Rhinolophus ferrumequinum: one gene and its partners. The protein of the gene in region 2 interacts with the protein of the main gene of each other region in a pairwise test. Links are inferred from orthologs where the notes say so. Each region holds a gene or a part of one and is shown on either strand. Other genes may lie near its edges.

Region 1 (7,756 bases), on a different chromosome or scaffold from region 2:
ATATGGAGGTTCCTCAAAAAATTGAGAATAGAATTACCATACAACCCAGCAATCCCTCTTCTGGGTATCTGCCCAAAAAATCTGAAAACATTTATTTGTAAAGATATGTGTACCTCTATACCCCTTGATCACTGCAACATTATTCATGGTGGCCAAGACATGGAAACAACCAAAGTATCCTTTGATGGATGATTGGATAAATAAGATGTGGTACACAATGGAATACGATTCAGCCATAAGAAGAAATGAAATATTGCCATTTGCGATAATATGGATGGATCTTGAGTATCAGGCAAAGCAAAATAAGTCATACAGAAAAGTTGAAAACCGTATGATTTCACCTATATGTGCGATATTAAACAGAAAGCAACAAACAAAATAACAAAATAAACAAACTCATAGACAACAATATGGTGGTGACTGGAGGGGGAGGGGGTGGGAAGAAGATAAAGAGGGTAAAGGGGGTCAAATATATGGTGAAGGAAGGAAGACTAGACTTTGGGTGGTGAGCACAGAATGCAATATACAAATAATGTACTGTAGAATTGTATATTTGAAAGTTATGTTATTAACCAATGTCACCGTCATTTTTGTAAAAGCGTGAAACAATCTGAATGCTCAAACAACCTCAATGCCCATCAGTAGAGAACTTATGATTCATCCCTGTAACAGAATACTATGTAGCCAGTGAAAAGGGGGTCAATACACATGTACTAACCTGGAAAAAGATCCTAGATAGCTTAAAAGGAAAGAAAGTGTAAACTGGTGTAGTACAGAATCCGACATGGCTACAAAAAGAGATGAAAGATATACCTGTCAGTCTACAAATATATGCATATCATGTCTAGATTATTTCCTGCCAGAATCACAAAAAATTTTCAACAGTAGTTACCTCTGGAGACTGGGGTTGGAAAGACAGGAGAGGTTTACTTTTCACCATGTACATTTCTGCATAAGGTTGCATCCTTTAAAAGTTAATAGATTTCCCTGGGTGAGTCAAAAATGACTTTTACAGTTTGTTGGGGTAACCACTTTTCCCCCCAGTATTATTAACAGACCAGTGACCTGTACCTCTGTTTTGATTCCCTATTGCATATCTAGTGCTTGTCATAAGGTAAGGCATACAGCGGGACAGTAGTAAATATCTGTAAAATGAGCCAACTTGTATCTCATTAACAAGAAAGCTAGGGCACAAAACAGCCTGTATAGTGTAAGCCCCCCTACTTTTGACTTTTTGAAATAATTTCAAATTTACTTAACAGTTGCAAAAACAGGACATACAGCTCCTATATATCCTTCACCCAGATTCCCCATTTGCTAATATTCCTAACCCTTGAGAATGAGTTGCAGACACAATGCTTCATTACCCTATAATACCCCAGGTGAACTTCTGAGGTACAAGGATACTCTCCTATGTAGTAACTGCAGTACAACAATTAAAACTCAGAACATTACAATAGATATTAACCTCTGATTCTCTAATGACAGTTAACAAATGTGCCCTCCTTTTAAATTTTAAAGTTCCACAAATAGTAACTATAGTCCTATTAGAAAAATCCAACAATAAGATTAAAAATGTTCCTTCACTTATGCCTTCCCCTCAAAAAATCCAAATCCCTTCTTCAATCATCAGTTAGTAAAGTAGCCTTCAGAGAACTTTCTCTGCAACCTATACAGTGCTCTAGATATAATTTTTCCATCTTGCTTCTTTCATAAAAATATCCTTTTTGCATACCATGCTGTTATCAGTATAGAGAGCTGATAATTTAAAAATTGATTTGCCTGAATTTTAATTATTTTCCTTCCTGTTATAAATCCACTGTACGTGTGTTTCCCTGTGTGAATGGGTGTATGCGGATCTGGCCATTCCCTCCCCGTGTTTTCCCACCACCATCCTGGCTCCAGTGAGTACTCTGTCCATGCATCGCTGTGTTTTCCGTGATCCCCCAGGAAGGTGACTGAAAAAGGAAAAAGCAATTTAAATGCTAAACAATTCTGCAAGACGGGCTACTGCAAAGCCTTTACCTATTAATCTTCCTATCAATTCACTCTGGGAAAGTCCTTGTCTCCATGGTGTCACTTGGTTGCTACAGAGTGAATCCTTTCAGCCCCCCATTCACATGTTGAAATCCTCACCCCTGTGACGGGATTAGGAGGTGGGGGGCCGAGGCCGAGGGTGGAGCCTGACGAATGGGCTCAGTGCCCGCATCAAAGAGGCTGCACTGAGCTCCCTCACCCTTTCCCCACGTGAGGGCAGCGAGGAGAGCGAGGGCGGCAGACGAAGCCCGGAACTGTGAGAACTACCGAGGCTCCGCTGATTGCAGCACTTTATCAAGACGGACAGATGGACCAAAAACAAGCGCGGGGACAGGTACACAGGAGTTCCTCGTACAATTCTCTCCACTTGCCTGCGTTAGAAAACCCCCCTGAAACATCCACGAGCAAATCCTTACAGGGGTGGGTATGGCTAGGACAGAATTTTTTTCCTCTTTGGGCTGTAATTGGGAACTTTTAAACAATTAAAATAAACTGCACGTCCCCCCCTTGCTTGGGGAGGTGGGAGCCATCCCTCAACAGGTCGGTGTGAGGAGTCGGTCTGGTTTTGGGGGGAAACAATCCACTGGTCAGAACAGGGAAGTTCAGAGGTGTGAGATGAGGACAATGGGGACTTATTCGTTCCCTCAGGTGTGGCAGACCCAGGAAAACGTGCCTTTCGTGTTTCAGAGACGCTTGAGGAGATTCAGGTCGAAAGGATGTTCTGTGACAATTTTAAGCTGTCTGAGCAGAAAGCAGGGGAAGCAAACATGGCAAATACGGCGTGAGTTACACGTCGGAGGCGGATGTGGGTAAGGACCCCACTCGAGGGAACAGTCGACTTTCCCTCAGAAGGCGACGGTCCTTTTTCCTCACTACCGTTCTGACGGAGACAGAGGCCGCCCGCGCACTCCCTGCCCCGCCCCGGCCTGACACCAGCCCGGTTCCGGTTCCGAAGCAGGCCCTCGCCGGGCCCCAGATTACCTCCAGCCTTTTCTCCCCGGTCCGTGGTTCCCGAGGGCTCCGAGCTCGAAGGCCCCGGCCTCGCCGCCATTTCCTCTCAACCGGCTGACGCACTGGCGTTGGGCTCCTCCGCTGGGATTGGACTAAACCCGTGCCGGGGGCGGGGCGTCCTCCCGCACGCCTGCGCAGTGCAGTGCTCTGTGCGCCGCATTCCTCCGGAGCAGGCGCGGAGGTAACGGTTGGACAAGCGCCAGTGCGCATGCTTAAAGCTGCCGTAACCCAAAGTCAGGGCACAGGAAGCGAGGGCCGCGTGCCTACTTCCGGGCTTGCGTCGGCCTGTTGAACAGTCTGATCTGCACAGTATACAGGCTTCTGGAAGGGCCACCCTGACTCGACGTCTCTGGCATTGCAAAAAGTGCAACTTTGAGGTGCGTTTGAGAGCCGAGTTCGATTCCCATCTCTGCCTCTATTACTCACTGCACACATCAGTTATTTCCCGTGCCAGCGACGACTCCGGGCTGGCATTCTGGAGCAAGACCAAGTGTGTTGTCAGCCCACCTGACTAATCTTGGTGGATCTTCTTGGTTGGATGCAGAGGAGAGTGCAAGAGTAGACGGGGACCCTCGTCCCTCCGAGCTTGATCCCGAGTCTGGCCCTGTCTCCCCGTGGACACGTCCCCACTGGAGGCGTGGCCTGAGGGGGGGGTTCTGCAGGGAGGGCAGGGGGTGCAGGCATGCCCCGCTGGTAGTGGATGAAGGATCCTTCCCCGCCCATGCAGCACGGTGGTCACCCGGGGCTGTGCAGGTGGAGCCCCGAGGTGGACGCGAGGCTCAAATGGGCTTCTGCTCACCTACCCCGTCGCCGGGCTCACTGCCTCCAGGAATCCCGGTTTCTGAGGAGACAGTGCCCGGGGCAGCCCCAGGCGGGTGGATCTGGGTGCAGGTGGTGCAGATGAAGTGTCCAGCCCGTTCACTGCACACAAAGCCAGTTCTGAGACATTCCAACCACAAGGAGCAGTTTTGAGCACTGCGTGTGCAGAGCCCTGCTCTACGAGCCAAGTCTTCAGTTTTCTGTTGCTGGACACTGGCAGTACTTATAATAAACAAGAATGAACATGTATTTAATGGGTGCTTCCTGTGCGACAGTTCGTATTCTGGTCATGGTGGAAGATTATTTCATTTGATCCTCTTTCCAGCCCGACAATGGCCAACCTGCCTGGGCTTCCCCTCACTCACTCTGCTCTAGCCAGCAGCCTTCCTCAAAACAAACAGGCTTAAACTCACCGCAAGCCTTTACAAACGTCACCTCTACCAAGACTCCCTTGCAAATAGTCAAAGCTTGAATTGTCACCTCAAGGCTAATATGCCTTCTACAAATCAATGCCTCCCATGATATAGATAATGTTATGAAAAAAGTCAGTGTTAGGATTAAGGGTCAAAGTAAGGGTCTGAGTTGGGGCCAGGGGAAGGGTCAGTGCGAAGTGGTGTCAGAGGCCAGATTCAGAGTCTCCTTTCATCGTTAGGATTCGGAGACAGGATTAGTGGCTGAAACATCCTTGGCTTGCTTTCACCATCCTGATGTCACAGCCACTCACATAAGACCTAGCAGTCCAAGCCAGGCTTACTGACCAAACCACAGCAGAGTAGACCATCTCTTGCCGACTATGGTGGCTCTTCTGGAAATGAACTGACCTAAGCAGGAAATAAGCACACCGAAGTTTCAAAGACCCTCAAATCCAGAACCAGTCCTGTGATACAGACTGCAGTAAGGGATAGTGGTAGAGTTAGGGTTAGTGTGCTAGGGATATCGTGAAAGTGAGGGTGAAGAATCAGTGTCAATGCTAGGGCCACAGTCAGGGTCAGGGTTTAGAGTTTAAGGGTCAGTATCAAGCATCTAGGGCCCAGAGTTAGGGTTGTTTGGATTTAGGGGTAGAGGTTTAAAGTTATGGGGCCGGGGTTAGGGTTTGGTTTAAGCCTCACCGGCCCACTTCCCCCTCCACATTTCATCTCTCTGAGGTTTCCAGGAAGGGCAGGACGTACCCAATGTCACACATGAGTCTAGTTGAATGGACCATTAGTTGTCTGCTCCCCGGTCCTGGGTTCTGCTAATAGAAGAATGAAATGTGACTCTGGTCACTGTTTCAAATCCAACTCAACCTCAGTCTAGCAGGTTCCCCACCCTCCTTCCCACTGCAGAAGGGTTGGTGGGGTCTCCACTATGTCCGGGCAGCCCCAGATTCTAGCTCAGTGATGACACACGAGGGCACTCAGTAGACACGTGTGGATTTACACAGGACTGGGTACAGCGACCTGCCAGCCTCCAGGTGCAGCCTTTCTAAGGGCTGGTGGGGCCCTCCTAGGACTGGCTGGATCCTTCGTCCCATCCGAATGGGCAGCAGGAGATAGTCAGGTCTCAGGACAGCCCTAGGCCTCTCCTCTGACCTGCCAGGGAGGCATCTGTGGTCCTTAGCAGTCTCCACTGGGTGTCTTCCCGCCTTGTGCTAAGGAGTTTATGCCTAGGTTCTCCTCCTAAACCAGGTCTCCATCTGAATCTCTTAGGCAGGAAAGGCGGAGGGTCAAAGGTTCTTTATTAGTCTTGTTTCTTAACAATCAGCTTAAAGTCAATGTGTCCAAAGGCAAAACTTTTGGTCCTCTTCTTCCCGCCTTTGAAACTGTAATAAAAGTTTCACATCCAGAAGTTAAATTGGTAGATTGTCCCATATTTCATTGATCTAATCACTCAGTCCTGAGAATAAGGTAATTTAAATTGTTGAATCTTATTGCATGATGCAGTGATGTAGATATACTCCCAAATTTCACCTTTTATTAGATATCTGATTACTTGTTTAGGTGGGGGAGGAAGAGACTTTCCTCTACCCTCAAGCTTCTTCTGGCTGATCTGATAATCAAATAGACATGAGACAGATTAGCAAGAGAATATAAGCAGATTTAATACATACACACGGGAACCCTGCACACAGGAGAGTCCGAGACCCCACATGCAGGAGAGGTAGGAAGATAGGAAACATGGGTAGCTAAGGCTTCCTGAGCTAGGGATGAGGTAAGGTCCGTTGGGGGCTTGTAAGAGTCACTGTAGGGTAGTGACAAGAGCAGATGTTTCATGAATATCTTGAATCAAATCAGACAAAGACGGATGTTGACAGAGATTGAAGGAGAAGGTCAGAGACAGAAATAGATGGATAATGTAAGGTGTGGGGTGCTGAGCTGCTGCCAGCCCACAGTTGATGACTGTGTGTATGGCCTATGGATTTGGGATCTCTTGGGGTGTCCTTGGCTGACTCTGCACTGTTTTCCCAGACTCCATTCTGAGCAGCCAGGAATCTCTTGTCAGATGTGACCTCAGAGGAAGGGAATATGGGGGAGAAGCAGAGCTGTGCCGTGGGCTGAGGAGGAAGAGATTTTAAAAGGCCCGAGCACAGTCATCGCTCAGCTTTGGGGGAGTCGTTGTCACAGGGATCTGGTGCTGCTTGTCCTCCCCTGAAAGGCCAGGCCACCACCTCCCTCCCCACCTGTCCCCATCCCCAGCTGCCTGCCCTGGTCCCACTCCAAAACCAGCCTAGGTGAGTGCATGGCAAGCGGGACCATGAGGTTATCTGCTTTTCTTCAAATACAATGACCGAGATTCCACCCAACACTGCAAGGACTATTTGGATCACTCTGTCCAGAACCCCATGTGTGCAAGCTGGCCCATGTGGGCCCATGTCAGCCTCGGTTCTGGACTCTGAACTGTGTGTGTTAGAATCAGTCTTCATTTTAACTATCTGTGAAATGGAGATAGTAATCGTCTCTGCTGCATCTGGAAAATGGGAGCAGTGGGTGAGATGAGGCCTGTGAAGGGCCTGGAACTGGATTTATTTCTTAGTGAGCTCAGTCCCAGGGGCCTGGATTTGCATAATGAGCAAGCAAACGCTCTTCTCTGCTGCCATCTTGTGTGAGGTTTAAGAATGACACCTGTTTGTCACCTGGAAAAGGTATTCTTTGCTGTCATCTTGTGTGCATCTAGGGAATAACACCTGAGTAAAGGTCATGAAAGGCTCTTCATTCGAAAGTCTTCTTCTGAGCCAAGGTGTCAGACCCAGGGCTATGCCCCAGGTACAGTCATCTGTGCCCTGGAGGCTGCCTGCTGGAATGTAGAGTCCTGGAGGTGAAACCTGGCACTGGGCTTGGCACACCTGAATTAACTGCCTTCTAGCTTGGCTCTTACTTATGCTGCCTTATGTCACCCTCCCTGCCAGGCTCCCGACCTTCCCCAGGGCCATTTTTGAACTCCCAGTGTGCTTAGAGAGCCTCTGTAAGTCACCACATCTGGGAGAGTGCGGTTCAAACCAAAGATTTATTTTGCATGTAAGAGAGGCAGCCCAGGAGGACCAGACCAAAAGGAACCCAGGTCTGAGAGCTGAAAGCCTGGGTATGGAAAGACCACAGGGAGGCCTGCATGGGGCATACTGCAGCCCCCAGGGAGAGCTGGGGAGGCAGGCTGTGGTGGGATCCCAGTCTCTAGCCTGGGCACTGAGGTTGAAGGGGCCTTGGGGACTCCACTCCAGGTGCAGCATTTGCCGGGGGAGCTGAACACCAGACTCCTGGGGCAGCTTTGCTGGAACAGCCTCCCCCCTGCACAGCTGTGGTAGCTGGACCTGTCTGGTGGGTTGGGGTAGAGTCCCTCAGCTTTTCCCTGGCATAAGGTATCTTGTCCAACGCTGGTGCCACCCTCAGGTCCAGAGGTCTGGCCTGGTGTGGGA
Region 2 (7,750 bases):
TTTCATAAATAATTCACAAGTCAACGTGGCTGATTTTAATAGAATTATAAAGATGCCATCATGTGTGGTAGTTTCAGCTAATTGTTTAACACAGAATTTCATGAAATCTTCCTCCTAACAGGTCATTCAAATTTGCAGAGATATGGGTGTTGTCAGCCGGTTCCATAGCTTCTGAAGAACAAGCCCAAACAAAGGGGATTGAGGAAAGGCAACTGGGGGCATGAGGGAGCCTGGAGGGGGCCTCCAGAGCTCATTCTGATCTGGTGTGACCCTTCATTAGTGATCTAGCCTTAAACAACACCTGCAATGCACACACAGTGCTCACCAGGGAGGGAAATGCAAATGCCTGTGAGAACTCAATCATTGTGTACAAAAGGAACCAAGAGGGCAGCTAGCTGGGACAGGAAATAACATCGATGGCTTGCAAGTGAATGCGCTGGAGGGAAATAGATCAGAAAACACAAATATTTAATGTGAGGAAGAAAAACTGGAAATCAATAAGACCTGGAAAGACCTAAGGGAGATAAGGAACAGTGAGTCACAGGCATTCGCAATGTAATTGAGAAGCCCCAATGCCTGGCCGGATTGGGAGCTAGGAGGCCAGCGGCACTTTCTGAAGTCACAGAGCTGCTGAGGCAATTCCCTTCTGAAACAGAGGGACTCGTCCCAGAGTAAAGCAGTATGTGGCAGACACATGCAGGGAGCTCCGGGCACGCAGTTAAGATGCAGGGAGAGGAAGGGCTATCTCCTAAAAGCAAGAGAAGCAGAGGACTAAGACCTGACCTGGCCCGGCCACGTGGCATATGCCCATCTTCCGATATAACAGAGAGAGTGGGTGTTGGCCTGGGTTCAAGCCCCCAACTCCAGCTCTGCCATTACCAGTGGGGTTCCCGGGTTCCCAGTTCCCGTACTTACAGTGTCCACCTCGCACTTGCATGGCCCGACACATGATGAAAGCAGTGTTCAACCAATAGTCCTGCTTCCCTCATCAACCACATCAGTCCTTTCCCCCAAGCCCTGGTCGTGACGCTGTTCTCATAATCTAAACTTATAGACACCCACACCACTCCCCCAGCGCCCCTGCCCAAAGCATCCTGGCTGGTGTCTGAAACCTGCTGCATGACTTGTGTCCCGGTGGCAGATGCACCCGTGAGGCCACATCTGCCCACGTGGGGCACACGTGCCTAGGCAGCAGGTATCCTCTCATCCCGTGCCCTCCTAGACCCCAGCAGCTGCACCAGGACCTGCAGTACAGGCCCCAGAACACGCTCGAAGCTCCTTAAACCACTCCCCAGTTCTGCTCCTTGCTCTCCTGCAGGGGCTGTTTCTGGGAGGAGGCAGGGAGCTGCACTAGGTGTAGATGGAAGACTTCCAGATCCCTCCATCACGTGACCATTGCTTCATACCCTCTTCCCATCCCCACCCCAACCCATCCTCGGGTTGACACCCTCTCCCAGTCCCTTAGCAAAGCAAAGATTGACTTCTCTGGGCTGAGAACGACCCAACCATAGGGAGAGTAGTGGACAATGGAATTACAGACGTGTTTTATGTGGAAAGAATCGGACCTCAGCCAGGGCTCCTACAGCGGCAGAAACCCTGCGGGCAAGCCATCCTGATGGTCAGGAGAAAGTGAGCGTATGTTCTAAGCTTTAGGAGCTGAAACAGAGAAGTGTCTGTTCATTACAGCGTCATAAGGATATGCGAAAACAAATAGCCAGAATGCTCTGTGTCCTATATTTTTTCCTCCTGCTGAACACAGTTGCCTAGATTGTTACAATTACCTCCACCTATAGAAAGAATGCTGGAGGTTTTCTTTCTAATCGTGTCCTTCTGAAAATCCTTAAGAAAGAGAGAGCTTTAGGTGATCAATCCTGTCCCTACACGTCCCCGGACAGAGCTTTCACATAGTTACCTCTGCACTGGACTCCTCCACTCTACATTTCACCCTTTTTGGTTGCAGTGCCATGGTCTTCCAACTGGGCCTTAGGTGACTCTGGAGAAGCAAGGCTGCCCCCTTTGTGACATAGCAGCGGTAGAAACAATGCAATCAGGAGAACCCCACCAGGGCTCAGTGGGGGAGACCTGAGAATCTCCACCTGTCAACACTGCATCCATTCATTGGCCTCCGTTCTGAATCCCTCGTGCCCACCCCCTTACGCTCTGTATATTTGGTATACAGCTGGCCTTAATTCTCTGACACCTCCAAATGGCCCTGTCTGTACTCCTTGGTCTGTATTAGGTTTTCTCCTCATGGATTCAGTCATATGCATTTGATTCCAAGGCCAGTTGTAATTCTCCTCTAGAAATCCAGCGTGATTGCACAACTACCAGAAGATCTAATTTCGAGATGATTGGCGTATTTCAGAGTGTCATAGAAACTTCATGTGTTAGGGCTGGATGGTCTTACCAGACCACCTAACTCACTCTCCTCATTCGAGGGATGAGGGACCCAAGGCCCAGAGTGGCTAAGTGTCCTCTGCCAGGCACAGAGCTGGTTGGCAGCTGCCCCACAACTAGAATTGAGGTCCTGAGGACTCTGCTCGTTCAACAACATCTTTTGCTCGAGTTTTGAAAGAAGAGGGTTATTGTGGCTAAAACGAGTAGATTACATTCTTCTGTGATTATCCCTACCTGAGGTAGAACCACATTGATTGGAATTTCTAGGCTTTCAGATCTGGTATCTCTTTTTCTTCTACAATGTGGCCTTGAGAGCTGTGGAAAAAAGAAAATAAGACATCTGCTCCCCAGCCCTTCCTCCGGGCCACAACTGCTCATCTGAAAAACAGAGGACTTCCGACTCACTTATCCCCTCGTCAATTATGTACATCATGAAAATCGGAGTCTCAAAGAACGGGAAGATCGTGTCTGACAAGAGGCTGTAGCGATGTCTGAACATAAGTTAAGACAGGTATTATAACCGGTTTCAGAGCCTTCCGAAAGCCTTTGGAGCAGACATACTTACACCTATTATTACCTTTTCTAAGATTCTTATTTCTGTCTCAAGCAAAAAGTCATACCAACGTTAGGTGCCAGGTATAGGTCCTGTGCAGAAGTTGGTCACCAAAACACTCAGAACATTCCAGAGGTGACATCACAAAACAATATGGCAGTGTTCAGGGCTCATGGTCTCTCTCTGAGCATCTCAGGCGGGAATGAGGCCTCTGATGGTCAGGAAGAGCTTACCTTGGTGTGACATGGCTGGTCCAGGTCAGTGTGACACACAGTAGCCCTAACACTAGCTTCCTGTTTGGTCATCTTGACTGCTATTCACATCTCCTCTGCCAGGCTGGGCTGAGATCCCTATCTTCTCTCCAGAGATGGCATCTTCTCCTTGGAGTTGGATCACTTAAGAAGGAAAAAATGCAAACTGAACTCACTCCAGACCAAGAGAAGAAATTCAGTGTGAGACGTTTTTTGACACAACCAATTCTCCAATTCTTTGACACCAGTTGGACATCTTGCAATTCAGCTCAACCTTAACACAATCGCCCTGGAGTTGGTGTTGGGTCCCATATGTGAACGGCTCAGTCCCACAAGACCGGCCCCGCTTCAGATGCCTGTCACAAGTCCTGGGCCACTGGTACTTCTACCTGGCTGTATCAGGGGTTCTCATAACGCCCTCCTCGGGTTTGATAACTTGATAGAATAGCTCACAGAACTCAAAAAACACTTTACTTACACCTGCAGTTTTATTATAAAGGAACAGCCAAGTGGAAGAGATGCTTAGGGCAAGATATTGGATGGGGTGGGAGAACACAGAGCTTCCATATCTTCTTGGCACGCCATCCTCCCACCAACCCAGAAGCTCTCCAAACCATTGTTCAGGGCTTTTTAATGTAGTTTTCATTACATGGTTGTGCTTGATTAAATCAGTGGTCTTTGGTGATTGAACATTTCCAGCGCAGACGTGCAGGGGTGCAGACTGAAAGTTCCAACCCTCTAAGCACGTAGTTGATTCCTCTGGCAACCAGCCCACATCCTAAAGCTGCCAAGGGGGCCCCACCAAGAATCACCTCGTTGGCATAAACTCAGGTGTGCTCCAGAGGGGCTCCGTGTGAATAATAAAAGATACATCTATCACTCAGGAAGTGGTAAAGGTTTTAGGAGCTCCGTGTCAGGAACTACAAACAAAGGCCAAATATATATTCTTATTTTACCTCATGTAGAAACTGCATCAAGACCACAGTGCTAACATCCGGGCTTTGCGAAGGGGGCAGCGCAGCCCCCTGCCTCAATTCTGTCCAGTCACTTGCCTCTAGAGGCTGTTAGTGGGAGCCCTCTCATGTGTCTTCAGCCTCTTTAGACAGAGAGCTCCCGTGCCACGTTATTATGCCACACACCGGGGAGGGTGGTAGGCCAGCGTCTGAGACCCAGGGACACCTAAGCGCCCAACGGCTCTCCCACAGCCCACATACAAGCGAGTGTCGCTTTAAGAAAATCCAATACACAGTAATTCAAAGCTATACATGTGGAAAAGACCAAGAAAGTGATCAATCACATTATCAAAGAATTCTTCATTGTAAATGGGAACTTCTCCAAGGGTTTCCTTTTTTAATTTTATTTTTTAATTGTGGTTGAAACACATAACATGAAAAATGACCATCTTAATCATTTTTAAGTATACAGTTCAGTAGTTTTAAGGACTTTCACAAAGCTGTGCAACAGGTTTCCAGAACCTTTTCATCCGGCAAAACCGAACTTCTATGTCCATTAAACACTTAAGTCCCCTCCCCACCTCCCCCAGCCCTTGGCAACCACCTTTCTATTTCCGATTTCTATGATTCTGACTACTTTAGAGACTCCTGAGTAGAATCATACAGTATTTGTCCTTTTGTGACGGGCTTAATGGCTTCGCATCATAGCCACAAGATACTCCATATTGGAGCATGTGACACAGCATCCTTTTTTAAAGCTGTACAGTATTCCCTTGTATTTATATACCACGTTTTATTTATCCGTTCATCCACTAATGAACATTTGGGGGTGTTTCCACCTGTTGGCTACTGTGAATGATCCTGCCATGAACACGGGTATGTAAATATCTCTTCGAGAACCTGCTTTGAATTCTTTGGGATAAATACCCAGAAGAGGGATTGCTGGATCATATGTAGTTTTATTTTTAACTTTTTGAGGACCTCCATACCGTTTTCCACAGCCAGTGCACCATCGTTTAACGTTCCCACCAGCAACACACAAGGGTTCCAAGTTTTCCTCATCCTGTCAACACTTGGCATTTCCTGTTTCTCCACGGGTTTCTTTAAGCGGTTAACTCTCGTACTGTCTGAAAACACAATTCAATTTTCCCTTATACACAGATCTCATGGAAACACCTGCACATCCACCTGTGAGGCTGAGCTAGGAAGACTCAACCGCGAAGGAGGTAGCTGAACTAGAGCTGCCCAAACAAAGGACCACAAAACGAATGCTATGACAAACTACCAGAGACTGGAGGGCTTCCACAAGACATTTATTTCTTACCATTCTGGAGGCTGGACATCCAAGGTCAAAGGGCCAGAAGACTTGTTTCCTGATGAGACCCACTTCCTGGCTTGCAGATGGCCACCTTCTCACTGTGTCCTCACATGGTGGAGAGAGAGTGTGAGTTCGGGTCTCTGTTCGTCTTTTCTAAGGACACTAATCCCATCCAGAAGCCTTCATCTAAACATGATTGTCTCCCAAAGGCCAAACCTCCAAATGCCATCACATTGGGGACGAGGGCTCCAACATATGCATTCAGTCCTTAACGCGATGTGACTTGGGCAAGTCACCCCACCTCTCAGAAGCTGTTTCCTCGTCTCCAAAATGAAGAAATTAAATCTAATTCGAGACGACTTAGCAAGCTCTCAGTAAATAATCATTGCGTTGGCGCCCTCGTACAAAATTGCCTTGCTCCCTTTGCCTTGCAGTCTCAAGCAGCGGACTCACACACACTGGTGCCCTATTAAAAAGGCTTGATGTCACAGCTGGTGGGAGGGCTCGTCTGTGTGCCTGCTGTGTGATTCATCCGCTTTTTGTTTTTAAGGGAGGAGCGCTTTGAGCTGGGCCATCCTGGAACTGGCATCTTCCCACTAGCTGGGTCCCTTCCTCCTCTACAGGATACACGCATCCATTACTCGGTACTGAAAAGCTTCCTTGAGAGTGCACCCCAAATGTCTGCTATTATTCAGAGTAACGCCATCATCAATCATCCATGTTTCGTGAGCATCCACAATTGGAGGGCACTACACAGAGCTCGGAGGTGGACACGCCTGGTGGGTTTCTCATCTAAACAGACAGGTAGAGCAGAGATGAAGGAAAGGGCAAGCATGCATCTCAGACTCCCCAGGCTTTCCTCACCTGCAACTGTCTGGTGATGAATCACAGGGAAACATTCAACAAGCGGGAGGGCCCATCAGAGAGCACGGGGCCTCCTGCCCTGCCCCAGGGAGTCACAGGAACTGCAGCTCTTGGTCCAGGAGTCAGACGTGGGCATGGTGGGGTATGTTCTGACCTTTCTCTCCTTCTCACTGGTGAAAGGATGGGAAGTTGTGTGGATGTAGTAAATTATCACAATGTTTGTCATCTGCAAATTATATGATGTGTTTGGGAACATTTGTTATTTTTGCTGCTTAGGGCAGAGGGTAGCTTTATGCTGGAACCAGAGTACCAACCCAAGGACAGCCAGGCTGTGAGCCAAGCTGCCTTCGGGACAGGCCAGGGGTCACCTCCTGAGGAAGCATAAGGCAGCAGCCAGAAAGAGCAAGAGAGGCTGCCGCTGAGTCCATCCAGCAAAAAATAAGATCAACTGCTGGAAAAGTCTGAGCAGGAAGAAAGTAAATAGAAGAGCAGCTACCAGGGGCACTGTTGAAGTGAATGGTTGTTACGCTAGAAGAATCACCCATATTTGTGGGGATGTTGAAGGAACCAACAGAGGGGGATGGTGCAGAAAGTAGGGCAGTTGGCACTTTCAGATTCCTGAGATAACCAGGGTGGTAAACGCTTCTTGGTGAAGTCAGAAAGGAGACCAGGTGCAAGATAGGTCCCCAAAAGCAACATCGAAACTTGGGGGCCTCTAGAAACATCCTTACAAATTTCCCTCCTCAATCAGGAGCCACTAGAAATCCCACCACCATAGTTCTGACATTTTCCTAAAATCAGTTCATTTGTTTACTCGATCCAAGAGTAAGGCTCTATAAAGACTATGATTTCACTGATGTGTGGAATATAAAAACACAAAAGTAACAAACCAAATGAAAACAAACAAGTAGATACAGACAACAGAATGGTGGTTACCAGAGGCTAAGGGGGATGGGGGAGGGTGAATTGGGTCAAGGGGATCAAATATTTGGAGACAGATAAAAACTAGACTTCAGGTGATGAGCACACAATAGAGTACACAGATATCGAATTATAACGTTATGCATGTGAAATTTACATGATGTCATTAACCAGTGCTGCCTCTCTCAAGTTTTATTTTAAAAGACATACAACAGAAAAGACTTTCAGTCTCTAAGAAATTCTCTTTTATTTTGGAAAAAAATCAAAAGAGGCGACTGCGTGTTCTCTGGCCCCACTCTGAGACCATACTGGCCCGTTGTCGCAGGCAGGCAGGAGTGGGAGTGGGGTCGCTGAGTGACACCACTCCCACTCCAACATTCTCAACCAACAGGCAAAAGGCAAGGCTTTGTTTATTAGCATGACTCTAATCATGATTTATGTGATTCTGTACATTTCAATCGAAGCAAAATTTAAAAGTCATCAAATTAGTTAA
Region 3 (8,111 bases), on a different chromosome or scaffold from region 2:
CAATATATATAACCAACAAAAAGATTCATAGCTAGAGTATGTAAAGAAATTCCTACAAAGCAATAAGAAAATGAAAGACAACTCAACAGAAAAATGAGAAAGGCTTGAATAGGAATTTTACAGAGAAGAAAACATGTGCAAAGATACTCAATCTCATTAATTATTAGCAAATGACAAAGTAGATAGAAAATGTGAGGCTGTAGAAGATCCGACACACACAATGCTGTGAAAGGGTAAATTAGTACAATTACTTTGGAAAATTTACTGGTGATATCTACTAAAGCTGACATACATAGGGTCTATGAGATAGAAACACAACTCCAAAGAATACACATAACAGAATGTGTATGTGTGTGCACCAACAGACACAAAAAATATTTGAGATTTTAAATAAAATGGTTCATTGTTTTAAATCCCAAAGAAAGTAATACCATGGAATTATATTTTTAAATGACTTTTTATTGCACGGGATAGTGCTTTTGTTAAATTCTCAAAAAAGGTTATTCCCTAAGGAGGTTAATACAATAAATAAATACATAAACAAATACTTAAGAATTAAGAGATGAAAGACTTCTAGTCAACCAGTAAGGCAAAGATCAATAACACACTTTAAAATATCTATTTGTAACTGTTCATAGACACTTTATAAAAGGAAAATAATATACTTTGAGTAATGAAACCTCTGGGAATGAGGCTCCTTTAAAATTAAGTAACTGACATTAAAAACAAAACAATTCATAAATCAGGTGAAGTAGAATTAGTATGATCTTTTCCCTCTCCTGAACTTTCCAGCAGTTGCCCAGGATACAAATCATCTCCTTACACACCTCTGTTATCTGTACATAACTAGAGGTAATAAGGCTAGCAATTTAAAAAATCCTATATTTAGTAAGTTTTCTAGATAAGTCCCTAGCCATCCAATTCTGTACCCTTTCCCCATCTTTGGGAACACAGTATCTTCCTGTTCCAAGTGTCCTCTCCTTTATCAACATGGTAAAGAGCAGGTTATTGAATATACGCTTATACACACTCATGCATGGGTTTAGTCAGTATTTTTCAGCCTTTCAATTACTTCAACTACATGTTTACATTTTTAGGCACAGGGAATTTCAGGTACTGTCAAATGGGAGATAACTAGGAAAAAAAGGAAGTAATCCTAAAATCACATTATACAAAATACTGTCCAAAAAGGTAAACTTTATTTAACATCGTTTAGGATGACTGGGGAATAGATGGACATATGGAAGCAGTAAGAGATGACTTCCCATATCAGCCTTTCCTTTCCTGGGAAAGATGAAGTGAGAACTTATGTGGCTGTAACCGCAAAATATAATATATATATTCTTAGGTATTGTCATTGGCTAGTATAGCAGGTCTAAGCTTGTTTTAAGTTCCAGACCCACCTAACTTAATACAATTTTTCTAGGGTACTTTTCCCACTGAGACATTCTATAACTTTAATATAGATTGTATCTCTTCCTACAGATTTCCTTTAATCATTCCAGTCGTATATTCCATCTTTCCCCTACATGTAATTTTAATACTTTATGTATCTTTTCATCTTTCCTTTCTCTGAAGTCCTAGAACATATATCAACATCTCATATTATTTCTGCCTCTGGTAATGGAATTTCTGACAACAAAGTATGTCCCTGGGACACATACTCTTCAGTATGAGTAGAATAAATATTTTGAAGAAGAGTAATACACAAGTACAGCTTGGATCTGTAGGTGAAGGAGATAAGTGATAAACCAAGACAGAACAAATAAAGGATAAAAAAAGTGAGTATCATAGAAAAAAATTACACCTACTGTTCTACATTTTTCATGAAAGGCTTTAACAACTAAGTCTATTATAAAAATGAAAAACACTAAAATTAAGATATTAAAAGAAGACAATCTATGGCTTATGCACATGTTAACAGTTTCAGAGATGAAAAGTAACTTGTTACCTTAAACAATTAAAATTTTCACTTTATAACTCTTATCAAAGGAAATTAAAAGAAAGGAGATATTACTCAGCTTGTCGCACGGATTTAATCATTAGGATCTCAATATTGCTTCCTCCAGAGAGCGCTCCCTACACGTCAGCTGTGCCCACCTTAATTCATTACCCATCATGTTGTGAAAATGGTATACAATCGCAGTTTAAGATTTTTAATCTAGCTCAATTTCATCGCTGTTAGAGGTCATTAAATGATGCCTCCCAAAGAAATGCCATTGAACTCAAAAGTGATTTTTGTTCAAAATGAAGCCAGCCACTACACTGACTGTAACCATTACTGTGGTTGATGACTAAGAGTCTGTGACAAAGCTCATAACTCTTGATATTATCTAAAACTATATGGAAAATAAAGAGAGGAGTAGAAATCAGGAAAAGTTACGTTTATGAAAATTTCAGCAAAAGATATTTGGGAAATACTGCTATAAGAGATAGGGAGAAAGGTCTAGGAAAGGAAAAACATTGAGAAAATTAGGGGAGAAAACAAAGGGAATAAGGGACAAGTACAGAGTTCAGTAGGACTGTGTTCACATAAAACTGTCAAAAGGTTTGTGGATAATTTTAGAAAAAGTCTTGTGTAGCTATAACTGCAGAATTAAAATGTCAAGATTGATTTTTTTTTCATAATGAGGGAAAAATCAATAGTTTTAGGAAAGTGGAGAAATACTGAAACGCCAGGGAAATGCAAGAAACGAAAACATCCACTACTTTCATCTCTCCCTTCTAGTCAATATTTCCGAGAAACTGAATCTCTCCTCAGCTCAGAGGATCCCATAGGAGGAATCAGTCTATAATTTCCCAACCATAAATCACAACCTAATCAAGGAGGATGAGCTGCCACAATTCTTCCTACTTCGTTGTTACAAAAGGATGTACCAGTTGGGTATATAGGCAAGCCATATCTAGGGCACCCCTCCCTCCACTTGATTTAAAAGGATGAAAAGGCAGACCTGGTCCTTAGCTCCCGCCCGGGGTCTCGGTACGGAGACCCCAGCCCAGTCTAAGATGCAGCTCTCCCGGGCTCACCCAGCAGCCGGCGAGCACAGAAGCAGGCTCCGAACGCCTCTGGCCCCACACAACTGGGAGATGGGGAGGTAGCATATGCAACCAGAGGAGGCCACAGGAGCCCAGCCTCCAGCAACTAGTTCCTGCGGCCCGACGCCTGCGCCCCCGCGCGATTCTCGCGCCGACGGTTTGTATTTGGAGCAGCGGGTGGAAGCCCGCCACGCACCGCGGCAAGCTCGTCAAAGCTGCCGGCTCCCCAGAGCTTCACGATTCCTCGCTGCGGATTCCACACCGCATTCGTCCAGACTCCTGAGGACACTGACTCGGCTAAGACCCTTCTCGATGGCAAGTTCGATGTCAAGCTGCAGATTAGAAGTTTGCCTAATTTTGATGCTCAGAGTGGCTAGGGCTGCCAAGTGAGAAACTGGGAATCTATAGCGAATCGTAAACAACAGGGATAAAAATGCTCTTTCTTTAAGGCTCAGATACCGAACGTCACTTCCGGCAACAATAGGAAACGTCAAAACTCCGACAGTCGGCAGCTCTGGCTGCTGCACCTTTGAGGTACCCTGACTTCGGAGGGCGCCAGTGCTGCTTCAGGGATTCTCGCCGCTGTCAGCTCCACCGGCGTGAACAAGTGAAGTTTGAAACCGACTTATCCATGGCCTGGGCACCAGTTCCCGGCTGAGCCATTTTCTTTTTGGCTAAAAGCCCCCGCCCGGAGGCCGATTCGTCGCGGCGGCGGTGGGGATCGCAGGTCGTTCAGGTAAGAGCGTCCGGCGAAATATTTCAGAACTCTTCCCTCTTTTCCCTGTACACTCCTACTTTTCTCCTTGGAAATAGACAACCGGTGCTTGCCAGTTGGCAGAAACTTGCCCACCAGCAAGACTTTAGGGCCAATGACAGTGCAAAGCATCCTGAGTGACAGCGGTGATGGCTTATTAGAATGAGGAATCGGTGTCAGGAGGCGGGAGTAGGTGTGTTCCTTGTGTTTCTAGGCCATTGGGGTACAGGTCAGTTTGGGACCCCACGTCCCAAAAAGCAGTGACCCGGCTTCATTCTGAAATAAAGCCGAGAATCGGCAATGATGACTTACTTCTAGCCTAAGTGTTGCTTTTCAAGTAGAGGGTTTTTTTTGTTGTTGTTCATTACATTCAGTTATGATCACGATGGATTTCAGTTCTTTACATACAGTTAAGGTCATGATGGATTGCCAGTTGCTTCAGTCGTCAAACTTTGGTTATAAATTTGGCAAATTCGTAATTTGTTCTGTCTTTGTTTCTCTGTGACTGGGCTCTAGTATTTTTACATGGTGGATACGGAATTAAATATTACTAATTGTATGAAATTACGTAAATGAATCCTAATCCTCAGTCATTTAAGTTTTTTGTTGTTATTTTATTTTTAGGTTCTTTATATATTTAGTAATTTAATAATTGAGTCTACTTGTTTTAACAAATGGAATTTTTATTTTCAAGGATCCTACGTGTTTCATTCCAAATCAATATATCATATCTTCAACTTTATTACTGCAAGTTGAAGCTAATTTATGTTTTCCATTTCAGCTTTTCTTCATTTAATGTTTGGAGTTTGTTAACCATATTTCTGAGGTAGAAGGGTTCCCCACACTCCAAGAAAATGGTTTACGAAATTGAACAGAACGAAGAAGAAATTTTATTCTATTTTCCAGGTTGCGTAGAAAGCTTCCCATTTTTATCCAGTTAACTTGACAATTTGTCTGATGAGATATTGTATTAGTTATCTATTGCTGAGTAACAAATTGTCCCAAAGTTTAGCATCTTAAAATAATAAATATTATCTCAACATTTCTGTGGGTCAGAAATTCGGGCACAACTTAGCAGAGTGCCTCTGACTGATGGTCAAGCTGCAGGTTGGGGGCTCTTCACATCTCACCTGAAGACTCCACTGAGAGGTAGAAGGATCCAATTTCAAATGCATTCACCTGGTGTTGGCAGGCGTAGCTTCTCCACTTCATGGATTTCCCCATAGGGCTGCCTCACAATATAGCAGCTGCCTTCCCTTGGGGTGAGCAATCCAAAAGAGAGCACCCAAAACCCTGTATGGTCTTTTGTAACTCAATCTGAGAAGTGGTATTCCATCACTACTGCCATATTGTATTTGTTAGAAGTGAGTTGGTAAGTCCAACCCAAAATCATAGAGAGGATAACACAAGGGCATAAATCCCATATGCAAGGATCTTTGGGAGCCATCTTAGAGGCTAACAAAGATACCCTGGCTGATAACTTTTAGGAGTTAATAGGTAGGAAAACTGAGCAAAAAAGCAGTCAAGACAAATGCAGCCAGACAAAGAGAAATGCTAAACTGTAAAGAAATAAACAAACTTGTTCAAGCCTCTCTCTCTCCCGGGAAAGGTTTTTTTTTTCCATCTAATTATCTGAAGAAAGGCTTATTATTTTGCTTGAGAAACTTTGCCTGAGGGAATGATGTGTGTGAGAGGAATGTTTGTGTTTTAGGGTCTATGTGAGCAGAACATACTCGTATCACAGCTGGAGATTGTGTATTCCTTACCCATTGTCATTTTATATGGTTGAAATTGTATCAAAACAAACATGCAAAGATAGCTCTTAAGGAGGAAAGAAGTTAGGAAAGAGTAGAGGAAAGCCTTCTAGTATAGAAAGAATGCAGGTCAGTGGCAGTCTGTATGTTGATATGAGATCAAATAGGGATGGGTGAGGTGTATCTTAGAATAGAAATGTGTCTTGGATGTCTGTTTTTGAACATTACTAGGTGGCAGGTACCACCTTTTTCAGCATTACCTGGATACACATTACCAGCACAGCTTTTGTCAGTGAACCATGTAAGTTTATCAGAAATTAAAGGTATAGACTTTGGGGGGAGGGTGTGTGTGTGTGTGTGTGTGTGTGTGTGTATGTGTGTATGTGTGTGTGTGAGTGACGCTATTTGGCTGTGACCCACTGTAAAATTGCCTGTTTCCAGGTTTGAAAGATGTTGTAAATCCTTATCTGTTAGCAAAATATTCAAGTTTGTTTTTTACACATCAGAGGCTTAATACCAGCCTGATTGTGTCAATTCTCAGAATGTAAATTTGGCTTTTAAATTGTGGTTCCATATTAGCTTAACATACTTCATTTATAGTTGTTTTGGGCCCTTAGATATCTGCAAAATTTTAAACAGATGCTTACGAAAACAACACAGTTGAAATACTTCCATCCACAAAATATCTTTGGATAATAACTTCTAGATAAGCTAAAACATGCATTGTAATTTATTATATACGATCAGTTTAATAAGGAATGCTTTATGTTTATTGTGTTTTTGTGTTGATTAAAACATTGAATTGCCAAGAGATGATCTTTTCTTTGATCACAATACATTGAAATTAGTCATTCAAATTTATGATTTTATAGTTCATTGCTTAACCAACTGCTATGTGCAACTATCTATTTTTTTCCTCCATCTTGATTCAAATTTAGAAACTAAGGCTAATTCCTTAGCTGGCCTGTGACAATGCATCAAAGTCATTAATACTGAAAGTCTATGAAATATATATCTTAACTCATGATGTTTTTCATGGAATTATTTTGCTAAATATTTTAAAACAATTTTAATGAAATACATTTACTTCTAGAAATTTATGTTCCCTATATCTTTATTTTTTTCTCATCGCTTTGTTACTCTGACAAATTTATGACATAGATTCTACAATAAAACTAAACTGTCCTGCCTTGAATAAGTTTATATTCGGGGCAAGTACTTTTGTGGTGTAGAAACAAGAAAAGATATTTGTGGTTTGAAGTTTAGACAGCAGGTTTAGGGAGTTTAGCTCTGTGATCAGCAGTTTGTGTTCTTCAAGAATAGATTGCATAGGATTTCATAAGCTATTTGAAAGAAGAAACAAGATTTTGGCAAGTGAGCCTTGCTTGGAGAGCCGCTATCTGCTCATACTGAGTAGTGATTTATAGAAGTAACGAACATGGGGAAAAAGAGAGAAGGAAAGGACACGTGTTAAATACACACACACACATCCCCCCTACATCCATCGATCTCTAGCACCTCTTCATTTTACTTTCATTTTAAAAATTGTTTCTCGTTTTATTTTCATAGAATTTTAAAGGAGACCTTAGAGATCAACTTCAAAACCCTTATGTTACAGGTGAGGAAACCGAGACTTCAAAATTTAAGTGGTTTGACCAATACTCACAACTAGTTAAAGTAGGAGCCTGAATCAAATCCATATTTTGTGTAGGTCTCTTTTCATTATTGTATGTTTTCTTATCTCATTTATGCTTTTCCTCCTATTTTGAGCTGCCCTGCCCTTGATATTTATTATATTTTAATATCTTGTTTTATGTGTATAAAAGCAATTCAGTGAGAATTACAGTTTTTGTTTTGTTTTGTTTTTGAATTCCGCAACTCTCATTTAATGGCCATTGTGGTTAGTGTGCATGGAGTATAGTGTGTCCCAAGGAGGTGAGTTGGGATATGCTGCCGTGGCAGCTGCTGATTATAATTAGGCTGAATAAATAGTGCAGTTAAGTAAGAACCAGTGTAGTTAAAAATAATGCTGGTGAGAAGTATGATAAATTTTTTATTGAAGAGTTAAAACAGACTGGAACATTTCTTGCAAAAGAAACTGAAGAAATTAAATAAATTAAATTAAATAGGCCCAGAATTCTGAACATTTTGGTCACATTTAAATGACACATCTTAATTTTTACATTTGTTTAAATTAAAGAATAGGAAAAAACTTCCAGAAAACAAAGTAATATTGTAAATCTTTGTGAATTAAAAAAAAAGTACAAATGGTATGCCTTTTAGTAACAAAAACTGCTCTTGCAGGACCAGATCTTTAAATTTAATGAGTGGGTTTTTTTTTTTTTATGTGTTTAATGTACCCTGTGACCTCTTTGTACTTAGCTATTTCCCTTTTCTCCTTAGAAAGACCTCCTTGTGGATTTACCCTTCCTTCATTTCTCTACAATTGTTGCCTTTCAATTTTAGAGGTGTGATTGGTTATCAGGTTTTTTTCTTTTAATTCCTTTCCTTTCCTTTGCTTTTTTTTTTTTTAATTCCCTACTCACTCTCTTCTAAACTACTTTGGT
Region 4 (7,714 bases), on a different chromosome or scaffold from region 2:
CTGTCCTGCTAAAGAAAGAAAACACACATGTACATATTACGTATACCTTACATTTCACATAAAATCAAAGTGCTCTGTATCACTACCTCGGTCACATTTCCCATCTTTGTCCCCCAACCACTGAGAAAGAGAAAACCTTCTGGACAGTCAGGCTGGCCTGGTGCTATCAGACAGGCTTTGGTGCTGCCAGGTGCTGGCCTGGCACTCACAGGTGGGGTGCTCTCCTGTTGAACGCAAACGATTTCACAGAACACCACCAGATGGACCACTCTATGATTGTGACAGATCAAGATCAAAATGGAAACGCTCCTAAACACGTCTGAGCACAGAACATTATAAAATGACCAATGTCCCCCTTTCTTGGCTAATGTGAGTGACTGCTGTTTCTTTGTCAATTACACCTGATGCACTGTATACCTTTAGGGCCCATCTGTCCTTCTCCCCTTCTAAATAAAATAATTAAGATACCCAATTACAGAATTATCCCTGCTTCTGACATCACCTAATCCAGAGAGAGCCCCACTTCCTTGGACTCTCTTCAAATCACCTACAACAAGCCCAGGCCTTTCTAGCTTCCTCTTATTGAGCTGCCCCATAGCTCCCATGGCATGCCATCTCCCTAGGTGTAATGAGCTAACTGATCCGACTTTGACTAGATTGACCCTGGAGTTCTTTGGCTGGAGGGCATGAACACCACCTTCTGTTTGTCATACCTATGCATACTTTTTCGTTTTATTGCGGTAATATACCATGTTTCCCCGAAAATAAGACCTAGCTGGACCATCAGCTCCAATGCATCTTTTGGAGCAAAAATTAATATAAGACCCAGTCTTATTTTAACATAAGACCGGGTCATATAATATAATATAATATAATATAATATAATATAATATAATATAATACCGGTTCTTATTTTAATATAAGACCGGGTCTTATAATATAACATCATATAATACTGGTTCTTGTATTAATTTTTGCTTTGAAAGATACATTAGAGCTGATGGTCTGGCTAGGTCTTATTTTCGAGAAAACGTGGTATATAATACATAACATCAAATTTACCACGTTCAACCATTTTAAGTGCATAGTTAAATGGCATTGAGTACATCCTATGCATGTTTTTATACTTCTGCTATATAAGTATACAGTAAGTCTTCATTTAACATCATTGAAAGGTTCTTGGAAACTGCAACTTTGAGCAAAATGAACAAAACCAATTTTACCACAGGCTAATTGATTTAAACAAGACTTAAGTTCCTGCTGCATCTCATCAACATTATAATGAAATGATGTTGAAGAAAACAACGTTCTTTGAGGACCTGCTGTACTCGTATATCCAAAAATCAATATATGAGTATCCCAGTGATCAGCACATTTTAAACTTGAGAAAATGGTATCAAACTGATATTTTGCATCTTACATTTTTCTGGACCATATTATGCTCTGGTATTTTTTTTATATTCTCAAAGCAATGCTCAGTCAAAAAAAAAATAATAGAAGTATTTACAGTAAACAAAGAAAGCACTTCTGTCCATTCCTCTCCCCCACAACTCAATCTCTCTCCCAGGTAACAGACCAAGGTGTAACCTTTTAGGCTGTTCGATGCATACCTGAATACACACACACACACACACACACACACACACACACACACACACACACTTTTATCCAAATGATTTGGGTATTTGGATTGCTCTGCAACTTGCTTTGATTACTTACTACATTTTGGGCATCTTTCCTATCACACAGTTTGGTCATGTATACTGAGATCGGCCATATACTTTTTAATGGCTGCAAAGAATTGGGAAGAACTTTAAAATGAAGTCTGCCACATCTCTCTTTGCATTTTTCACTGGTCCCCACCCTACCTTTGTCTCCTGTTTTGGTGTAAATCTTGGGGATCTTGGGTGTCTTCAAGGAAGGCTGTGGCCTAATGAGAAAACAGACAGGAAGAGGTGGTGAACGGGGATGGCGTACACAGTGGGGCACCTCCTCCCATGGGTCCCAGCTTGCTGCTCATAGCTTCAGACGCAGCACCTACCCACCTCAGCTTCCATCTCTTGTTGCCATCTTTCCCCTCCATCTCTCTTAACTTTAAGCCCTTTGTGGGCAAGCTCTGTGTCCTTCCCACATCCATGTCTGCGGAGTCGCTGATGTAGTCCATCACTCAACGCAGAAGCTCAATAAATATTCGCTGAAAGAATTTACTGATCACTTTCCGTAGTCCCTGCACTGTGCTAAGTGGATTACCGGCATTATGTCCTGAAATTACCCCTGGAATCTTCTCACAGCCCCAAGGACACACACTATCTATGACCTTCATCTTACTGGTGAGGAGGCTGTAGTTCACAGGATGGGACTCTCCTTCCTAGGTCACCCAGGGAGGAAGAGGGAGGGCTGGGATTCCTGCCCAAGACCATCTTACTCCAGACCCCAAACTGTTGCTTCTGCCTTACCCAAACGCTTATCTTCTACCCCACCAAGTCAGGAAAAGAAAACTGGGCTACTTCCATTCTATGAAACTTCAAGTATACTCAGTAATAAAGAATTGCCAAAACAAGGTTCGAGAATTGGCATTTTCAAATAGCAACATAACACCTTTAATACAGGCTTCAACATGAAAATGTGACATTACGAAGTTATTCAAATGTTAAATTACTGGATCTATGAAATATATGACGCCATTATGAATTCATGGTACTTTACAGGTTCTGAGGTCTGGGAATGGGGTGCAAGTTTCAAGGTCTACGATGACAACCATCTTTAGATTATGTGGTGTATCTCTGTGTCTGAAAGTATAAACTGCTTTGGGGATAGGTCAAAATCGGAATTGCCCCTACCACCACCACTGTGAGGCCAGGCAAGCTGCCCTTTTGGCCCACATGGTTCATTCCCCGCCCTGTGGATGACAGCTGAGCTTCGATCCGACATGTGCAATGAAATCTTGGTCTCTGGCTCCCACGGTGCCCACACTGCCATAGTGACGTCAGGACTAAGAGAGGCTGTCACCTGGCGGTGCCGTGGTAACCTCACAGCAGTGTGACGTAACTATGGCGACAACACCACAATTCATGGCAGGTGTCCGAGTTACCTTCCCAGCCGGGCACTCACCCGTCCCCGTCTTCCACGCCCGGGGCCCCGCGGCTCTGGAAACGGGGACAAGGTAGCCTGCGGGAGCCGAGGCAACCGCGAAGGCCAAGGCGGCCTCCCAGGCCCCACACAGCCATGAGCCAGGCGGTTGTCGGCGTTGACCCCACCGGGCTCCAGTACAGGTCGCGGGGTGACTCCACCTACCACCAGCCGCACCACTCGTCAGCCACCATTTTCCATTGGTCTGTGGCTCTCGGCCCAGGGCGGGACACTCCCAGGAACTTATTTCCTATTGGTTCACGGAAGGAGCTGGGCGGGGAAACCCGTGACGACTTGGTTAGCTACACCTATTGGCCAATGTTCAAGCCAATTGGTAAAGGGACTTCCGGATCGCGCGCTCTGATTGGCTGGGAGAAAGGAAAGGTTTCCTCCCCACCCCGGGGCGCTCAGAGATGGAGTCCTGGAGCCGCTCGGTCTCCGGTGCTTAGGGTCTGCGGTGGCGGCAGGTGAGAGGCCGTGGTCGCGGGGTCGGGTGGCGCGAGGTCCTAGCTAAGACTCAGGACGACCCTAGGATGGGCGACTGGCTTCTCTGGCTTAGTTTCCCCAACTCTGAGAATCCATTCTGAGGTGAGGGATCGGTGACTTCGAATCTGACTTGATTTTGAGCTTCCGGCAAGCAATAGGTTTCCCTGCTGAGAAACGGGGATCACGATAGTACTTAACTCATAGTGAAGTTCAGTTCTTGTTATACTCAGGTAATTAATGCACATAAAGCCTTAAATGGAGGGTAATTTTGCATTATTTATAAAAATCTAAAACGCGCACACCCGTGGTCCCAGCAAGTGACTTTCTAGGACTCTGTTGTAGAGATCCTCCTTTACATGTGCAGAAAGAGGTGTAATAGCTGTTTTCTGCAACCTGTTTATAATTGTGACACATTGGAAATAGCCTCAATGTCCAGGAGAAAGTTCTTTTTTGGTCCACTATTTCACTTAAATCTCTCCCTTTCATAGTCGTAGTAATGAAAGCTGGAACCAAGAACAGAGCCAGTAATAAGCAGCTATCAGTAATCGAGTGATTATGATGTGCTAGACACTAAGTGTTTCCCTTGCATTATTTAACTTAACTTACCTAAACCTATTGAGGCAAGTACAGTTATTGTCCCCGTATAACATGTGAGAAAACAGGTTCATAGCCATTTCAGTGAATTAGTTAAGAGGACATCACCGGGGAGTAGAAGAGCTGGGGTTTGAACCCAGATCATTCTGATGTGTCTAGTTAACTGTAATAACTACTGCACTGCGCTGCCTTTTGAGCATGTAGCAAGTGCTAAGAGGTAGCTGCCTTTTTTGTTCTAACGATGAGCTTGGACTAAGTACTTTCTAAGATCTTTAAGATCTGGGGACCCTCCATCCTCCCTCTGACTTTCGCTTTCAGGAGTCCCAGGAGCCATGTTGTCAGAAGCCCTGATGGTGTCCGCTCCAGGGAAAGTCATCCTTCATGGAGAGCATGCTGTGGTCCACGGCAAGGTAAAAGGCCCCCAGAGCCTTCAAGGATTGGACACCACTCCTCCCTGTTCCTAATCTTAAAAGAAGACAAAAGAAAGCCTTGAGGCATAGCCTGGGAATAGATCAGAGGGGAGGTCAGTTTCTCCCCAGCCAGGCATCGGAAAGACAGGAGTTATGCCCACTGAAAGGCTTCTCTCGCCCACTCAATAAGAGGGCAAAAAGGGTGATAGGTTAGGCCCCACGAGTGGAATGAGATCACCTGGTAAGTGAGCTTCGGTGGAGAAGAAAAGAGGTTTGAGGACTGAATTCGGCGTCTTTCAGCATTTAGAAATTGGGAAGATGAGTAGGATTCAGCAAAGGAGTCTGAAACGTGCATCATCTCATTTCACTCGTACAACTACCCTCTGGGGTTCAACTTTTAATGCTGATTTACCGATGTGGTGGTTGAGCCTTAGAAGAGGATTGCTGACCTGACCAAGGTCCCTTACACCTTGCTAGAGCTAGTAGTAAACCTAAGTCTGTCTGAACCCAAAGCTCGTGCTTTTCCCATTCCTCATCTCTGTCATTCTTTATGTTCTTAACTTATATATATCTTTGAAAACATGGTGATTATGGGGAAGCTAGTCCTTGGTATTGGGAACCTCTGAAGTTTTGCGTAGGAAAAGTAAATGTAAGTAGATACTAACTCTTGATTGGTAGTGGTAGTGCGGAGGCTTAGTGGGAAAGTATGCCAAGGTTGGTCTGCCAAAGGCATGGGTCCAAGTGGCCTTTGTGCTAGCACAGTGACCTTGGCCCCTTTTCCCTAAGACAGGAGTCGTACTTGTTGCCACTCACCCTCAGGCTTATTGCTTTTGCCCTATGTTCTGTAGGTAGCACTGGCTGTGGCCTTGAACTTGAGAACATTCCTCCGGCTTCAACCCCACAACGGTGGGAAAGTGGGCCTCAACTTACCAAACATTGGCATCAAGCAAACATGGGATGTGGCCAGCCTTCAGCGACTGGACACGAGCTTTCTGGGTAAGTGCAGGGAGGAGGAACCAGGTATGGGAAGAGCGTGGGCCCTGAACGGAGGGGGAAAGATAATGGCTGGCTAGGTATTCCAAGCTGTCCTGAGGGTGCAAGAGGCCAGCCACTCTGGGGGTGTTTTCTCTCCGGACCGTGTACAAGTAGCTTCACTGATTTATTTATTTACGTATTTTTTAATTTCAAAGAGTAAAATGATGCACTAGGTCTTTGTGGGCTGTTGTAAACAGATTATTGAGGCTTACTGTTGAGTGAAAGAACACGAGATGCACAACAGCAGGAATGCTATGAGGAGGAATGGCACAGATTAAGTGTCAGTATGTATGTCAATGCATAGAAGATGGCTGGAAAGGTACACGTCCAGCTGACACTGTTGAGTGGTGAGTTACCTCTGGGGGTCTCCCAGGGGTCAGGAGTGGACAAAGGGAGCCTTCCTTCTGTGGTGTTATTTTCACAAGGGGAATGTATTGAGTTTTTGTGCAATTAAAAATCATTTAAAATAAAAGTAATTTATGCTTGTTGTTGGAAAATACAGTCAATACTGGAACATTGCAAGTAAAAAAAAAAAAAAACCAAAGCACTTCTTATTACCACCTGCCAGTCCCCACCCGCTTGACAGCTCTTAAGCATTTTGGTGTTAATCCTGCCGGATTATTATCTGTAGATAGATTGAGATAGGGAGAGATCTTGTTTTTTGACTAAAATTGGAACGGGCCATGTAACCTCGTCAGACATGGGTGGGTCTCTTTTTCTTCTCCAGTATATTGAAAGTGCCTTTCATACATAAAGACCTCCGTGCTCATTTTTGATAGCTTTGGGAATGTCGTGTCCACTCCTACGCAGGCAAGGTTTTTTAATCAGCGGAGTCCCCACCTGCATTAGAACTGGAGCGTGTGTTCTGTTCTCATTTGCTGTTTCCTCTCCGGACCAATGCCTCCTTGTTTGGAATGGTGTTTCTCAGTCAGCATGGGGCAAGTGGGACTCTTCCAGGGGTTTATCCCTAACTGTTCCCTGTCCCCCATAAGAAATCAGTCCACAACCAGCCACTCCCAAATACTGTAGGGAGATGGAGTATGTATGATGCAAGTCAAAGCCAGGCTTTTGATTGAGCTACGGTAGCATTCATTTGTGTATATGTGTGTTTTTAAACTAGTATTAATTAAGCACTTACTGCGTTCCCAGAGATGTGTTAAGGATTTATTTTACTTTATCTTCATGACAGTCTTGTCCCTATTTATCAAGGAGAGAAACTGAGGTTTAGAGCGGTTAAGTCACATGCTCAAGGCCACAAAGCCAGGCGGGGACACAGTTAGGACCCAAACCCGTCTACCTGCCTCCAAAACCTTAAGTGCACTGACAGGTTGTGGTGCTCGGACCACAAATCCTTGCCCATCCAGATTCCCATGGCTGCTCCGTTCTTTGCATTCTGTTGTCTATAAAACACCTGAGAGGTCCTCAACCATCTGTGTGTGCTTGTGTGACAGAGCAAGGGGACGTCACAGTGATCACCCCAGAGCAAATGGAGAAGCTGAAGGAGGTGGCGGGCGTCCGTGAAGACTGTGCCGACCACACACACCTGGCCGTGCTGGCCTTCCTTTACCTGTACCTGTCCATCTGCCGGAAGCAGAGGTGTGTGTGCGGTCTGGGGAAGGAGTCCTGGTTTCTCTAGTTTTGGCTCCAGGAGAACGCACGTGCTCCCTTCCAGGTTTCACAAGGTGGGACAACAGCCATTGGCTGTCCCACCATGTGCCAGGCACCGTGACAGATACGTTACATATGGTCTGCTTATAATATTCACAACAGCCCGATGAGAGAGGCACTGTCCGCATTTTTTGTAGGGAGAAACTGAGACTCAGAGAGTCACTGAAGGCCATGCAGCTAGTTAGGAAGTGGTGGAGCCGGGGGTCAGCTCAGTCCACTTTCACCCGCACGCTGGCATTCGTAACCCCACATTGCCTCCTCTGCCCTCTTCAGTTCAGTAGAACCCAAGCCAGATTCCATCCTTGGATTGGATCCACCGTGTGGCTTCTCCCATGCCATGTCCGTACCCAAGTTGCTCAAGAAGTCAACTGTATAATATTTCTAATCCTCCA

Evidence for each region.
Region 1: the proteins of CBY2 (region 2) and SYCE1 interact in binary tests that used the Homo sapiens proteins (3 or more experiments, as listed by UniProt). The two-hybrid records come from large-scale screens. The link is inferred for Rhinolophus ferrumequinum from reciprocal best matches to the Homo sapiens genes CBY2 and SYCE1.
Region 3: the proteins of CBY2 (region 2) and CEP44 interact in binary tests that used the Homo sapiens proteins (3 or more experiments, as listed by UniProt). The two-hybrid records come from large-scale screens. The link is inferred for Rhinolophus ferrumequinum from reciprocal best matches to the Homo sapiens genes CBY2 and CEP44.
Region 4: the proteins of CBY2 (region 2) and MMAB interact in binary tests that used the Homo sapiens proteins (3 or more experiments, as listed by UniProt). The two-hybrid records come from large-scale screens. The link is inferred for Rhinolophus ferrumequinum from reciprocal best matches to the Homo sapiens genes CBY2 and MMAB.

What each region holds. Positions count from the first base shown.
Region 1 is NC_046299.1:32,071-39,826, reverse strand, and holds the start of SYCE1 (synaptonemal complex central element protein 1), read right to left. Parts: upstream 3,108-7,756; 5' UTR 3,089-3,107; coding exon 3,019-3,088; intron 1-3,018. UniProt on the Homo sapiens protein: Major component of the transverse central element of synaptonemal complexes (SCS), formed between homologous chromosomes during meiotic prophase. Requires SYCP1 in order to be incorporated into the central element.
Region 2 is NC_046287.1:5,395,194-5,402,943, forward strand, and holds the start of CBY2 (protein chibby homolog 2), read right to left. Parts: upstream 3,093-7,750; coding exon 3,018-3,092; intron 2,713-3,017; coding exon 2,632-2,712; intron 1-2,631.
Region 3 is NC_046301.1:32,522,505-32,530,615, forward strand, and holds the start of CEP44 (centrosomal protein of 44 kDa), read right to left. Parts: upstream 3,149-8,111; 5' UTR 3,028-3,148; exon of another isoform or gene 2,927-3,027; intron 1-2,926. UniProt on the Homo sapiens protein: Centriole-enriched microtubule-binding protein involved in centriole biogenesis. In collaboration with CEP295 and POC1B, is required for the centriole-to-centrosome conversion by ensuring the formation of bona fide centriole wall.
Region 4 is NC_046308.1:14,030,134-14,037,847, reverse strand, and holds the start of MMAB (corrinoid adenosyltransferase MMAB), read right to left. Parts: upstream 3,251-7,714; 5' UTR 3,228-3,250; coding exon of another isoform or gene 3,112-3,227; intron 2,195-3,111; 5' UTR 2,165-2,194; coding exon 2,046-2,164; intron 1,931-2,045; coding exon 1,869-1,930; intron 1-1,868. Other genes in the region: MVK (mevalonate kinase), read left to right, coding at 4,542-4,619, 5,468-5,615, 7,106-7,250. UniProt on the Homo sapiens protein: Converts cob(I)alamin to adenosylcobalamin (adenosylcob(III)alamin), a coenzyme for methylmalonyl-CoA mutase, therefore participates in the final step of the vitamin B12 conversion.